2 linked regions of the Arabidopsis thaliana genome follow. The protein of the gene in region 2 interacts with the protein of the main gene of each other region in a pairwise test. Each region holds a gene or a part of one and is shown on either strand. Other genes may lie near its edges.

The links. The genes of interacting proteins can lie anywhere in the genome.
Region 1: the proteins of EMB2820 (region 2) and emb2191 come close enough for resonance energy transfer, tested with the Arabidopsis thaliana proteins (one study listed by BioGRID).

The regions. Positions count from the first base shown.
Region 1 is NC_003070.9:17,788,577-17,794,430, forward strand, and holds emb2191 (Cytidine/deoxycytidylate deaminase family protein), read left to right. Parts: upstream 1-1,787; 5' UTR 1,788-1,962; exon of another isoform or gene 1,963-2,336; 5' UTR 2,337-2,380; coding exon 2,381-2,437; exon of another isoform or gene 2,438-2,512; coding exon 2,513-2,550; exon of another isoform or gene 2,551-2,610; coding exon of another isoform or gene 2,611-2,660; coding exon 2,661-2,727; intron 2,728-2,934; coding exon 2,935-3,094; intron 3,095-3,179; coding exon 3,180-3,362; intron 3,363-3,446; coding exon 3,447-3,490; 3' UTR 3,491-3,755; downstream 3,756-5,854. Other genes in the region: AT1G48170 (proteasome assembly chaperone), read left to right, coding at 234-407, 501-569, 659-734, 816-880, 982-1,059; AT1G48180 (target of trans acting-siR480/255 protein), read right to left, coding at 3,949-4,197, 4,272-4,666, 5,066-5,141.
Region 2 is NC_003076.8:8,443,996-8,453,275, forward strand, and holds EMB2820 (Cytidine/deoxycytidylate deaminase family protein), read left to right. Parts: upstream 1-3,958; 5' UTR 3,959-4,350; exon of another isoform or gene 4,351-4,424; 5' UTR 4,425-4,560; intron 4,561-4,859; 5' UTR 4,860-4,884; coding exon 4,885-4,957; intron 4,958-5,058; coding exon 5,059-5,110; intron 5,111-5,194; coding exon 5,195-5,271; intron 5,272-5,340; coding exon 5,341-5,474; intron 5,475-5,612; coding exon 5,613-5,695; intron 5,696-5,906; coding exon 5,907-6,006; intron 6,007-6,190; coding exon 6,191-6,601; intron 6,602-6,689; coding exon 6,690-6,793; intron 6,794-6,870; coding exon 6,871-7,051; 3' UTR 7,052-7,086; exon of another isoform or gene 7,087-7,297; 3' UTR 7,298-7,574; downstream 7,575-9,280. UniProt on the Arabidopsis thaliana protein: Involved in RNA editing. Catalyzes the specific deamination of adenosine-34 in several cytosolic tRNA species. Generates inosine at the wobble position of the anticodon loop.

The DNA.
Region 1 (5,854 bases), on a different chromosome or scaffold from region 2:
AATTCAGGAAGTGAAATTGCTCGGATCAGAGATGCTCGTATCGCCGGAGAAGAGCAACGACGGAGAAAGAGGAATTTCGCAATTGAGATTTATACCATCTAAAAACTTGAGCCGGTCTAAACCGTATTTAACCGTACCAAATCAGATTTAACCGGAGATGAAAAAGTGAAATTGATTTTCATAAGAAGAAGAAGAGCCAAAGAGGACCTGACTTTTCTCGGACTTGGGAGACAATGGAGACTGAATACGACCAAGTTCTTCGATCCGTTGCTCAGGTGAACATCGCCGACCAAATCGGAGAATCCGACGACGTAGAAAGAGACGGAAACGGCGTAAAAGTTTCGTGCTTCACTGAAGTTTTCGATGATGTTACTATCCAGTTCCAGATCATCCGTCTCGCGAAACAGGTTCCCGCCAATAAACTTAGCTTGGTCCTTTTAACCTAATTCTCAAGTCTTTGAGCTTCGTCGGAACTAAAATTGGACTTAATCGAACTACAGATTTACGTATGGGTCGGTTGCAATTCCGCCAAATTTGGGAGTTTGTACGCAGCCGCTTCAACACGACCGGTGAGCTCAGTAAAAACCTTGATTCTAACTAAAGCAGCAATTTTTAGGGTTTCTGTTTAAATTGATGTTTTTTTTTGTTTCTATGGCAGAGCAATACAGTGAGTGTTACATCGGTACTTGGTGGAACATCTGATAACACTGGATCTGGCATTGCGCGTAGATTAGGTTAGACTCTGATTATAACAATTCTTGCAATTTCAAATCCTTTTCTTTCTTGATGATTCAGTGTATTTTTCTGTGTTCTAGTGTTGAAGACTGGTCTCAATATAATACTGGCTTGCAACATCCCTAAAAACAATCCCTTGCTTGAGGTTCTTCTTTTTACTTGAGCTATTGTATTATAGAAATGTGAAAGGGACTAGCTTTATTCGATAATACTCATTGTTTGTTTCTTGTTTGTGTTGTTGTGTAGGCAAAAGCTGAGAAAGTGTTGATTAGAAAGCTGATTGATCTTGGTTACACAATGTCAAAACCTGTAAGAGCAACATAACCCAATTTAGCTGTTTCTTGAGGTTGTTTCTCCTTCATTGTGTCCTACCCTTTTTATACGGAAATTTGTGACTGATTCTACTAAGGTATCTTGATCGATTGGCATGAAATGATCACTTTTTTTTTGGTTTTCGATAAGTTTTCTTGGCATTGTATCTTGAAGATACTATCTTCTCCCCATTTCGTAGCTGCATTCATCTGCATAATGCTCGATGAGAAATGTTTAAAGCGTTTATTACTTCGACCACAAAACAAAGAGAGAGTTGGTTCCTTGTTCATGACTTTCAAATGTGTTTGTTTTCTTATTCTTCTTGCCGATTTGGCGTGATTTCTTCACCTAATTTGGAATATAGTTATGGTGATGCAATATTTGCATGTTTGATCTTTTGTTCGGTAAAAAGGCAAATCCTTTGGACATACCAAAGTGTCAAACTATATGATGAAACCATTCTTCTTTCCCTCTATATTTGTCACTTGATGATCTGTACTATTGAATTGATACAGAGTTACCACCAAGAATTAGATGATGTGTGTATATTGACGTCTATATAAAAATCAGAAGTTGTTTTGGCATCTAACCTTTAAATTTGTGAACTCTCTGACCAAATGTAAATAAAAAGAATTGATTTTTTTGGTTTGGTTCGGTTTGGCCTTACACACGGAAACTAATTGGACCCGAATAAACCGAAATTGAACAAAACCCTAAATTATGTTTTACTTCACTCTTCAATAAATCATGATTTTCTTTTAAACTTTTTATATCCATAAACGACGACGTTTTGGCTGGCATATGGTTTGGGTTTTTCACAAAATTTAGGATTGATATTTTTAGTTTTTTATTCTCAGAGACGATTGTGAGGAAGCTTGTTGATCGTTGCGGTCTGAGTAAGCGAGTAGATCATTGGTTTGTCTCTTCTTTCTTACTTCGATTCTTTGCTTCATCCAGAATAATCACAGTTCCAATTCTATTACCTTTCTTTTTGGTGTTTGTGACTCTTATGTTCATAGCTCTTCTGTTGAATTCACAAGCATTGTTTTCTTTTTGATCTGATTCATCCCTGAGAGCATAATGTGATTAGTTGTATTCCTGACACTCCTCTGTTACGTGTATTTTACTATTTAGTTTCAGTTTTGGTAGACACATATAAACTGAGAACATTGCAAGTAAAAAAAAAAGAGTTTTCTTTGAGAAATTTCTCTTTAGAATGGATATGCCAAAGAGTATCCTGATCCTCTACTTAGCTATATAACTAGGGATTTTTGAATCTTTGCTATCAGGTTTTGTTATTTACTTTCTCTGGCCAAGCCAACTATAAAAGTTAATGGAAGAGGACCATTGTGAGGATTCTCATAATTATATGGGTTTTGCTCTGCATCAGGTAAAACTAGTATTGGTTCTATAATACTGCAAAAGTTAGTTTGTTGCTTTTGAGTTGATTTCCCTATGCCTGCAGGCTAAACTTGCTCTGGAGGCTCTTGAAGTTCCCGTGGGGTCTCTATTTTTTTGCTTTGGCTTCATACCAATTTGTGTTTCGTACCAGTGTATCAATTAATGTCATATAGGATAACTAATGCGTTTTCTTTCTGGTTTGTGTGGACCAGATGTGTTTTTCTTGAGGACGGTAAGGTCATTGCTTCAGGGCGAAACCGAACAAATGAGACACGCAATGTAATTATTCAAACCTTTACAAGTAACTAAGCTTGATTTGTTATACATGTTCTAGTTATAAGCTACTGTCTTCATTCATTTATTGGATAGTCTATTTTTTTCACTGTTTCTCTCTATCTTGTTTTATTGAGTGACTCAGAAACGTATGATTGTTACTTCGGTTTATTCATCTATATTAAGGCATTTGTTACAATGTGGTTTGAACAGGCCACAAGACATGCAGAGATGGAAGCAATTGATCAGCTTGTCGGACAGTGGCAGAAAGATGGACTCTCACCTTCACAAGTCGCTGAGAAATTCTCGAAATGTGTTCTTTATGTAACATGTGAACCTTGCATAATGTGTGCATCGGCCTTATCGTTTCTCGGTATGAATCCTTACGCTGAATTAGACAGTTTGTTTGTTCTGTTTTGTTTCTGATGAGAGGTGATATACTCTGCTCTTAATTGAAGGTATCAAGGAAGTGTATTATGGATGTCCAAATGATAAATTTGGGGGATGTGGTTCCATTTTGTCGCTTCACTTAGGTAGTGAGGAAGCTCAAAGAGGAAAAGGATACAAGTGCAGAGGAGGAATAATGGCAGAAGAAGCTGTCTCTCTTTTCAAATGTTTCTATGAGCAAGGCAATCCCAACGGTAATAGCTCTCCCTTTAACTTGTACACTTCTATTCCTTGATAAAACATCTTGAAAGATCCTTTGTTTATTATTTGGGGTTTAGCTCCAAAGCCACACCGCCCTGTTGTTCAAAGAGAGAGGACTTGAGGTGAACGTATCGTTAAAACTGAAGTTCTTCGGCTTCTGCAACAACAACAATCAGACCTGAAGATTACACTCACAGTCCAGTTCAAACAACAACAATCCAGAGCAGAAGCCATAATTTGGGACTCCAAAAGCTTATTTATTAGTTTTGGATTTTATTCACATATATGACAATCAAAATAACATGTTTTGTTATCAAATCATGGCTACTTCCTGCAAACGAGGACTGACTTTAACAAAACTAAAACATAAACAATTCAAGGGGTCTAAGATCAGGAGCTGAAATGCCAAATTGGTGGAACATATAACATTCTTTAGAAGTAGAAATCAACTTCTGAGCTTACAACATATCTTAAAAAGTCTCCTGAAACATTATTCTTAAACAAAAGTCTTCCACTAGTAGCATATTGTTCTCTAGATAGATAGATACTTTATTAAGAAGATAAAAAACATCTTCTTGCTTAATCCATGGATAGGCGTGGGACACAAAAATCAACAAGGTAATCTGTTCGCTTTATGCCCGTGTGTGTGCCATCCGGAGAGTATAACTGAAACCACCTGCTCATAGCCACTTTCAGAAATATGAACTTCTTGTACCATACCTTCACAGTTCCAATAGACTTCCCTTGGATCTTCTCGACTCCAACGATGATGGCATCTCTAAGTCCGACATAGCTGGCTGGCTCACCTGACGTGCCACAGTAAATGCCCTACCACACAAAAACACAAATATTATAGATCAAATGTCTCTCTCTCTCTCGTTTTATATTGAATCTTAACTAACAGTTATAGCACTTGCGTCTTGTTGAAGTTCAATGTGTGGCTTGAACACATGCAATTTTGCTCCTACTGGTTGATCCACCACCATGTCACATGCTTCCTCAATAGTCTGAGGCTCAATCACTTGTCCTTTCATCGAAACGAGATCAGGTTTATACGATGATGGGGGCGTTATCACAGATCCCAAGCGTGGCCAATCTTCTGCTTTCGGTATGCCGCCTTTGTTTAAGGCAAACTCAAGACAGTCTTTGACAGTGAGCTTGCGCCCACTGTGTGAGCCAGCAGCATTGTCCACCACATACTTAGCAGAGTACTCAGTATAGACACTATCCAGCTTAAGTGCAAACCGTGCAGAGCTTATCAGATCAAGCGCTACAACAGCAGCAGAAGCAGATTCATCTGCAAAGACAAAAACACAAATGGAAACATGAATCAAAATCTGAACGTAATTCGCATGTTACCAAGATAAGAATATGATTTGAAAACATGATAAAACGTACAATGACAAGACACGTTAAGGGTCTAACACACAATATCTGAGAGAATCTAAAACCTATCATAGCAAACAAGTTATCATAGCCAACAAGAACAAAACTTAAGACATTGGTGTAAGAATATGAGCAGAATCAACCTAATGGGTAAAGTTTTGGCTTGCACTAATATTCAGGCTAAAACTAAAGCAATGAGGCAAAGCATTGATTCAACAACATACTAGTTCTACAGCCACAATTCACTCACATCTTGCAAAGCAGAGTAGCTATGTACTTTTATGAGTATGTTCTAGAGTGGCAATTTTACCGTAATCTTGGTGTTTCGCAATCGTGCCAAGAGAGAATGCAAATTTGAAATTGGGATCATAGGGTGGGAGTGCCATCTGCAATTACTTAACCCTGAAAATTTCCAAGGTCAATAAAATACATTAATGAAATGTGAACAGAGAAAATGGAAAGAACATTAACTAAGAAGGGATCCAAAGTGAAGCGGTTTGAACAAAGAGTTTATTGTTCAGAGGCAAGTAAAAACAGATCGATGAGACGTTTGTGGCAAATTCGAGAACCAATGTGATAGCTTATATACTAAAGAATGAGCAAACTACAGTAAAGGAGGATTAAACTCTAAAACCTAACGAAGAAGCTCCTCACCGTTCACTAATCACACTAAAAATAAAAGGCAATGCACAAGCAAAACCCGTAACATACCAAAGCAAGAGCTAAACAAATCCCAACAACTTAGAACAAAGAACCCTAAAAAAGACGACATTTTTATCGAAGAAATAGCAAAAGAAGATATTTTAATGACAAAAAGAAATGTGGCTAGATCGAGAACCAATGTGATAGCTTCTTTACCAAATAATGAGAAAACTAAAGGAGGATGTATTAAACGCTAAAACCTAACTAAAAGCTCCTCATTGATCACTGAAAAAGCAAAATGCACAAGCAAAAATCCGTAACAAACCCTAATACGTGACTAAAAGCTCCTCATTTGTTCACTAATCACACACTGAAAGGCAAAAACCGTAACAAAGCAAAACAAAATCCTAACTTAGAGAAAAAAACCTAAAATGTAACACTAATCGCACTTACAAAG
Region 2 (9,280 bases):
TTTTCGATATACACGTTGGGTCCAATTAATATTTTGGAATATTTTAGTGGTACCATATAATTGTTTTATTGGTTAGAGACAAATTTGTTTTTAGAGGAGACACGAGATAAGTTATAATAAAAATTTATCAATCAATATAGTAAAATGTATTGGTTCAGTCATAATAACTCTTGTCATTTCAATAATACATATGGCAACGGATTTAAAATGAAAAATATTTGTTTAAACTGATATTTTTTTTTTAAAATGGAGTATTTGCTTTCTAAGAATGAATAAATTTCTTTGTCTAATTGAATAAAGTGGATTAAAACATATTTTGGACCATTTTACTTTGATCTAATTGCTATACATATAAAGTAATGAATATTTCATATTTACTGGACCATAAATACTAGTAATTCAATCTATTTATACAAGTCTAAACTGTAGCTCGTAAGTAAAAGTAATGAACAATTCTTACATTATAGCCCCAATGAGCTGTCAATTTCATCAAAGACAACTATATGTTAATAGATCATAATAATACATCGTCTTAATAATGGTCCTAAACTCAGGAATAAGTTGTGCAAATATGTTTTCATATACGCATGTAAAGAAAAGATTGTGACTATTATTGAAATAACATGAGTTATATTTATATCCACCAACTCTTTATCCTCAAAGAGGATATATATATCCGCTGTATTATGCTAACATTACCATTCTTGCACTTGAAAAATGACTTTAATTAATTGAACATTTTATTACCATGAATTGAACAAAATTTCTGAAAATTGCTTCTGAAGCATCCAATTTTCAAGATTTTATATATTCATTCTAAAAACTTAATTCAATAAACTCATGTAACAACAAACTAATCGTTGAATATATTTTCTTCTCGAGAACGTTGACTGGACACTAAAAGAATGAAAGAGTAGTACTATTTGAATTTTCAATGAAACCCCACTTATTTCAAAGGGGAACTTCTTTTTTTTCTTTTTTCTTTCTTTTCTGTTTTGCTATTTCATAGAATATAGAGAAAATAATTGTTTTCCACTATTTCTCTTAATTGCTAAAAGGCATGTAGAAATCATTTTCTCACCTTTATATTTTCCACTAATATATTCCGCCAATTATAGCCATTAATTAACTTGGAGCAAAGCCTTTGTCGATGTAACCCACATTCCCACTTCTTTCTCTTAACTGGAGTATTGGACAATATCTCCCAAAGTCAAGGGCTGTCACGATTATACAGCTATTCTTGTATAGTTAAAGTTACGGCTACGATTCATAGTTCTTAAATTACTTATTAGCTATTTCTTTAGTATCTTTATTGGTGTGTATGGGGAAAACTAAGAAGACTTTGGTTATGAATGGTGTCATGAAGCATAATAAAATAATACGGTGCGGTTTGATTTTACTCTTGGTCATGTTTTTGTGAATCATATTTGGACAACACACCAACCTCAAGAAGTAGGGTGATTCAAGTATAAACTGAAAAATCATAAGCGTTAAATACCGATTAATACAATCATATATATATTTCGAAACTTCAAAACATTAGTCAAAATTTGATAACTCATTTATCCGTTACTCGCACCAAACTAATTAAGATATCTATTCAGCTTTTGTTCTATTCGTTCTACACCATTTATTCTTTACAAACTACATCTGTTATGCTTTATTTGTCTGTTCGTTTTGTTCTATACGTCACCTTATGATGTGTATCTTCGTTTTCCTAGCAAAGGTTGGTCCAAAAAAATTGATGGCCCGAATCAATATTGTTTTTTTCTCTCTTTTTAGCTATAATTCAAAATCTTAAACAATATTGGTTATAAAATTATGTAAAGTTGTGTTAAATATATTGGAAAACACAGAGGGACCGGTCACCAACTGTTGAAATCTTTAGTTGGAATATGCTCTATGGATGCTGATCAGTGACCACTATCTAATTGACTAAAAAAATAATCATCATTCATCCAAAATATCCTAAATAGATTTTAAAACACCCAATTACATCAGCAACTATATATGTTACGTGAGCAACAGCGCTATACATGTAGAAAATAATTTCCAGTTTTTATAACATTACAAGATCACCATAAAAAGTACGGATGTTAAAATGGGCTAAACATTTAGAGTCGGCCCAGGTCCGCTAAAATAAATAAAAGCCCGGTCCCGATTAAATCAAAGGAGAAACGTTTGGGCTTAAATATGGTTTTGCAGAAAAGGTTTCGGGCTTTTATAGGGCTGGCCCTATTATACTACGGTTCTGTTCGTTTCTCCATTTGACAGATCCATCCAATTGATCCATTCAACATGTCCATCTAGATGATTCATTCGACTCTTGTTCGTTTTATTTTTAGTCGGTTCATTTGACTGGACCATCCGAATGAGATGTTGTTCGTTTACTTATCTCTATCTCCATCCAAATGATTTGCAATAATACAAATACCTAAAATACCCATGCTTTCATCTAATTCTTAATCTAAAATATATTTAAAAGTAAATAAATTTCAAATAATAGTTTTTTATATTTATAAATTTATTTTACGGTTTTGGCGGGAAAACGTGATTTTATGATTTGACGGGAAAACTCGATTTTACAGTTTTGGCGGAAAACAAAATTTTACGTTTTTGGCGGGAAAACGTGATTTTACGGTTTTGGCGGGAAAACGTGATTTTACGGTTTTGGCGGGAAAACGTGATTTTTGCGGTTTTGGCGGAAAAACACGATTTTACGGTTTTGGTGGAAAAACGTAATTTTTTGGTTTTGGCAGGAAATCACGGTTTTACGGGTTTGCCGGGAAACCGTGATTTTGCGGTTTTGGCGGGAAAATAGAATTTTACGATTTTTGCGAGGAAAAAATGATTTTGCGGTTTTGGCGGGAAAACGTAATTGTACGGGTTTTGCTGAAAAACGAATTTTACGGTTTTAGCAAAAAAAATGATTTTGCGGTTTTAGCAGAAAATTTAATTTTTTATTTTTTAAAAAATAATTGTAAAATAAGATTTAAATCTATTTATTTATTTTATCTAAAAATACATCTAAATAATCAATTGAAATAATTAGGGTATTTTTGTCATTTGTTATTTTAGATTGAATCATCTCCATCCAAATGATCCAATTTAGTTCAGTCAAATGAGTTTCAAAATTTAGCCTAAATTTTCAAACTCATCCAGATGATTCATTTGGATGGATCATCTGAATGAACCGTTTTTGGCACCAAACGAACATCAAAACTCATCTCCATCGAAATGATCCATCTTACTGATGAAACGAACATGCCTACAAACTTTTTTTTTTCTTCTTTAACACTAAACGACGACGTCTCTTTTTTTTTTCTTTTTTTTTTTCTTTCTTCTTCTTCTTCAATCTTCTTTCTTCGATCTCTTATTTTTTAAACTCTCTTCTTTGATTGTGAGAAGCCATAAAAAAAGGTTCGATATCTCTCTCTTAATCTTTCATCTTTCTCATTTTTCTATTCTCATAGATTGATATATTCTCTATCTTTGGAATCTGATTCATAGGATTGGGGTTTAATGGTTTTCGAAGAAATCTGGGTTAAAGTGTGTTCGTGTGTTCTCTAAATTTGATTCACTAAACGTGGGTTTCGAAAAATTGAATTCTGTGTAGCTATGATCTTGTGGCATAAGGCAAACTGATTCCTGAAGTTGGAACATCGTTCTCTGGTTCAGTAGAGAACCGACGAACACCCTTCCCCATCTCCGACGATGTTGTTTTTCTGCTTAGGACACAAGTTTGTTTTGTTTTTTTTCTCTTAAACTTTCATACTTTCACACACTCATAAGTTTACACACATTACACATATATATAGGAGATTTCTTCTACTCACCATACCCACTCTCTTAGACCTTAAACTTAGTCACTATTTAACCTTACTTCTAGACATTAGACTTAGGGATACAAGCAACCTTACACAACCTTACCTTAGCCACTAACAACCCCAACTACTCTACCTCAAGTACTTAGCTAGAATAAGCTACTTCTACGAATGGGCCACAACAAAACATACTTCACCACTTTGGGCCTACACAACTTCATCAGCCCAATAAGATAAAACATAAAACCCACTTCTCTTGTCTTCTTCTTCTTCTTCTTCTTCTTCTTCTTCTCACGTCTCTCTCTTACGTCGTCTTCTTCTTCTAGTTTCCAATCTTCTTGTTCTTCATCATTGTTGTTTCCTTCTCACTGATGTTCTTCTTCTTCTTTGCAGGATCAATCGGAGAGTTCAATCTCAACAGACGACCATACCCTCGATACAGTAGCTGCTCCGCTCATCAACGTCCATTTCGCCGCCTTTAGCCGTCAACGTTCTCTGGTTCTGTTGCCGTACAAAATTCTTAAAGGTCGCGTTTTTATGTAAGCGTAGGGTTTAGTTGTCGTCCCGCTCTTTTTAATTAGACTTTGTTAATTTAATTAGGTTAATTAGATAAGACCTAAAACGGCGACGTGTAAGCTGTCGTCTTCTTGACCTTTTTGGTGAACTCCTCCTTCCTCTCTATCGGCTATCGCTCGCTGCGTCTCTGTGTCTTGTTGCTTGGAGCAAGCTCTCCAGCGTGAGTTAATCTAATCTCTGTAATGATTAATTACCTTCTTTTACGGTTTCTGGAATTGCATCTGTGTGTGAGCACTTGGTTTGAAATATGATTTAACTAGTGAATTCGATAATGCTGTTCAATAAGAATGCTTAGAAAAGCCTTAACTGGGTTTTACTCACCACTCTTCTTATTGAATCTAGAAATTGAAAGTGTGAATTTTTGCGAGTTCTCTTATTCAAACTTCACTGCGAAAGGTGGAGTTTTTCGTCTCTGTTTTCTCCCTAATTCTTATAGTTTGAGCTAATGGTGTTAATCAGGCTCAAGAATAGATAAAATAAAATTATGGATTCAGATGCATGGGAAATTATCCATATACCTGAAAAGCCTTCATTGTCACCTGACCATCAGCCCACTGGTATGATTCAATCTCTAAGTTTGGTTTTTTAGTCTATCAAAGGTTCTTTATCTAAACTTCTTCTTCTGTGTGTGTGTGTGTGTTGTTCTTGTTGTTCACAGTGAAGGTATATGCTAGCCTAATCAAACCCAGATTTGCCAATACGATAGTGAGGTTTGTCATTCTTGTTTCGACTCTTGACTCGTTGATTCCAGTGCTGTAATCTCATGAGTGAATTTTTTTACTTTGCTATGATAGGCATTTATGTAAGATTGCTCCTCTAGAAGATCTTCGTCATGTTAAAAGGGTGAAGAAGAAGATTCTGCCAGATTGCGGTATCCCATTGTTAGTTTTCTTAGCGCGCTGATACACCAATCATAAGATTATGAGGTTTTTATTGTAAGCTTATTGGACAGGTGAAACTCAGTTGACTGTCATCTTATGTCTAGCACCTGAGCACAACGATCAGTTGAGTGACATGCCACCTGATGTGCAGAGACTCGTTGATCCCTATGAGTTGAGTCCTTTTATTACACAAGTAGGTTATTTTTCTCTTATCTCACCACTATTTGCTTCAAGGGTTTTTGATTCATTTAGCTTCCAAGTCAGAGATTTCTTTCTGCTCATTCATTTATATTTTCAGTGCAATCTCATATTTCTGCTATAACTATGATAGGTATGCAAATATGCTGCGGTATCCAAAGAAGAGTGGGAAGAACAAAGTAAGATATGGCCTACTTCATTTCATCCACCAACCTAGTAAGCTCCATGTCTAGAATCAGTTTTGTGACCAAAAGAGTCTTTATTATCTTTCTGGTCTTTTTATTATATATGCTTTAGTCGTTCTAGAATAATCTTATTTCTTGATGGTTTCTATTGGTGCTCTTATCTGCATTGTAATAGCAATATATGTCTTTGTTTATAGTGCAACAGTCAATGATTTTTTACTTTTTGCATTTGGCAATGATAGCAATATAGATGGCATCGGTGGGTTCAGCGAGGAGGAAACACAATCAATCTGCAAGTTCATGAGAGTTGTTATTGATATGGCAGTATCTGGTCATACACCAGTAAGTATTTTCCATTGATCTACATAACGTCGATATCAAGTTTTAGACAACAGACCATTCATTTTTCATGTACCATTTGCTTTTTTTAGCGCCTCAATCCTTGTTCTCTTGGTAGAAAGATTTACCATCGTTTCATTACATAGAAAATGATCTCAATTTACCACATTTCTAATGTACTTTTCAGCTTGTGAATGCTGCAGTGATAGTTGATCCTTCAGTTAGGCGAATAATAGCTAGTGAAACTGATCAAGTATATGCATCATCTGCTCCTCGTGACATGACTAGCGCAGAGACCAGGCCCTTCGAGGAAACAGGGGAAATATGTTTAAATGACACACTTGAAAAACAGAATGGTTCATTGTCTGCTCTTTCTTGTCTGAATCCCTGGCAATGGAGTTTGCAGCCGCATGACACTGAAAATTGTAGCCAGTGGCATCCTCTTAGGCATGCTTCCATGGTTGCCATTGAATCCTCTTCTGCCAGAGATAGAAATCTGTTTCCCAATCCATCCAAGATTTTTGATCAGGATCATGTTCCGCCCTCAAATACAGATTCTCCGGCTAAAAAGCAGAAAACAAGCAGTCAGAGTCCAGACGTAAGTTCATTCCAACCAAGTTTTTTAATTTCCTCCACATGCTTTGACTAGTACAGCATTCTCTCTTACACTTCTGAGTTATCGATAGGTCCAAAATGACAGCAGAGAAGAGACTGTTAGAGATCCTTCAATGGAAAGGCCGTACCTCTGCACTGGTTATGACATTTTCCTCCTGTTGGAGCCTTGTACAATGTGAGTTTCTACATACATATTACCCTTTTAAACTCTGCAAGTGTGTGTATCTAATAAAGTCGTGATATGTTCCCAAGGTGTGCTATGGCGCTTGTGCATCAAAGAATAAAACGGATTTTCTATGCTTTTCCAAACACCACGGCAGGTGGTCTCGGGAGTGTTCATAGACTTCAAGGGGAAAAGAGTTTGAACCATCATTATGCAGTGTTTAGAGTTTTGCTGCCTGATGACGCACTTAGACAAATGACCACGGTCTAATGCATTGTTGTAGTCGATTGATAATCAGGTTCTGGGTGAGAAAGCTAATTCTTTGTTCTTGTTCATTCCAAGAATCTGGAATCTTATTGAATTATTATGTAGACCAAAAACTTTCGACTTCTATTACTGTGTATGGCTCAGTACTCTCTAGTCAGAAACTTGTGTTTTAGAGAAACAACAGAATGCAAGAAACGAACCGTCACTAACCAATCCTCACATGAAATAATGCATCTCTACTTACTGTAGTATCAGGTCATTGCATGGCCCAACTGAAATCATTCTTGCACTGCGCTCTCTTAATCTAACAACAGAGGATTGACGATTGCCGCCATTCGAAAATCGTCATTAGCTGAAAGACGAAAGAGGTTGTTATGAGGTAAATGGTGATAATCTCAAACTTGGTTTTCAAAGTTATAAGCTCATCTGATCGCGCAACACGTGTATATTTGTATGTATTAGATTTTGATAGGTGAAAAAAAAATTATGTAACAATAAAAAGTCTAGATTAAGACCTGTGTATGAGTGTTTTAAAATTATAAATTGTACTAAATTTAAGAAAAAGGGTTGTTTGTATATTTGTTTTTGCCTTAATACACTAATTTGCATTTTGATATTTTAAATTTGTTGTAAAATTTATTACAATAATCTAGTAAAGTTAAATTATCAATATGTTATTAGATCAATGTTAGAATCATTTTACAATATTCATATTGTAAGATTTGCATTTCAATATTTTAAATTATTGTAAGATTGTATATATATACACTTATTTATAGCCTATAGACATTTATTATTTCTTATTCATAATTGTAAACTAAATTATTAGTGTTAATTTTTATTTTGCCACAATTAATGTTAGATCTAAAGTTTAAAATCCAAGATTATATCATATTGTACATTTGTTTATTTACTTTTCATTATTCTAAAGTAGATTAATAGTGTTAAATCTCTCTTTTGCCACAATTAATGTTAAATATAAATTTAAGACTCCAAGATTAGATCATTAATTTCTTTATATATTGATATAAAAATCTAAACTAAGAATTATCATCGTACGAAAAGAATGGAGGGTGACAAACATAATAATTCTAAGACAATTTTTTCAATGCATAAAAAATAATCCTACGACAATGATTATATCAGAGGATATAGTTGAAGAGATATTTCAATATCTTCCAATAAAATCACTAGCTAGATTCAAAGTCTTGTAAAAAAATGGAGATCAATGATCAAATCAACCTACTTTTCCCACAAATGACTCGTTCGTACAGGTTTACCAACCCCTAATATGAAATATCTTCATGTTAGTCAACACTTTTCAGCGAATTTTGTTGAAGAAGATTCAACTCAATAACTTTTCTTTTGGAGACTTTTTCTAGAGATGACCATAACAACGGAAAAAACTGTCATTCTTCTTCTTGTTACTACACTTTTCCTGATGATCCAATCGACAAATGTCAAAATAAAACCATTCAAGTATTGGGATCTTGTGATGGATTGGTCTTGATTCAGATCCATGACGATTTTAGGCACATTTACTTGATCAATCCTTCGACTAAAGAACACATGAAACTTTCCAAAGTGGTGCGTCGTTGGTACGCACCTTGGTTACTTTCTTAGATTACATGACCGTGCATACATGATATTTGTTATTATTAGTTAAACTTATACATATCAACTTGATTACTTTTTTTAGCTTTGTAGTATCCGAAAAAACTTTTCATGCATGCTCCGTTAGACCTTTCGATCTGCGGTAATTTCCGTAACGTTCGCGTAGCCAGGTTGCAAATTAAATCGCAACCTCAGTATCTTGAAGGCAAATCAAACCTTGGATGGGTTTAGAAACATTTCAAAGTGGTGTTTCGTTGGTACACATCTCTTGTTGACCGGAAGACAAGAACAATGCTTCCTCCTCTTGACAAACAGAATGAAACAACGTTTCGGGTTTGTTTTGGTAGATTGGTAAAACATTGGTGACGAACAACACTCGAGGCTTTTTCATTGATCAACTCAAGTAAATTTCTCTGAATTCTACGGAGCAAATAAATGATGCACATTGCTTTGAGACGCATAGCCATTTCGCCAAGACTTTTAGAGGCATCGGTAACAGAATCTTCATTTGTAGATCATAAGGAAGTGTTTCAAAGCTTGAATTCTCCATTCTTGTTTTTTTGTTTGTTATGATATTTTGTGTTTTGAGACATAGAGACCTACTAAACACACATGTGA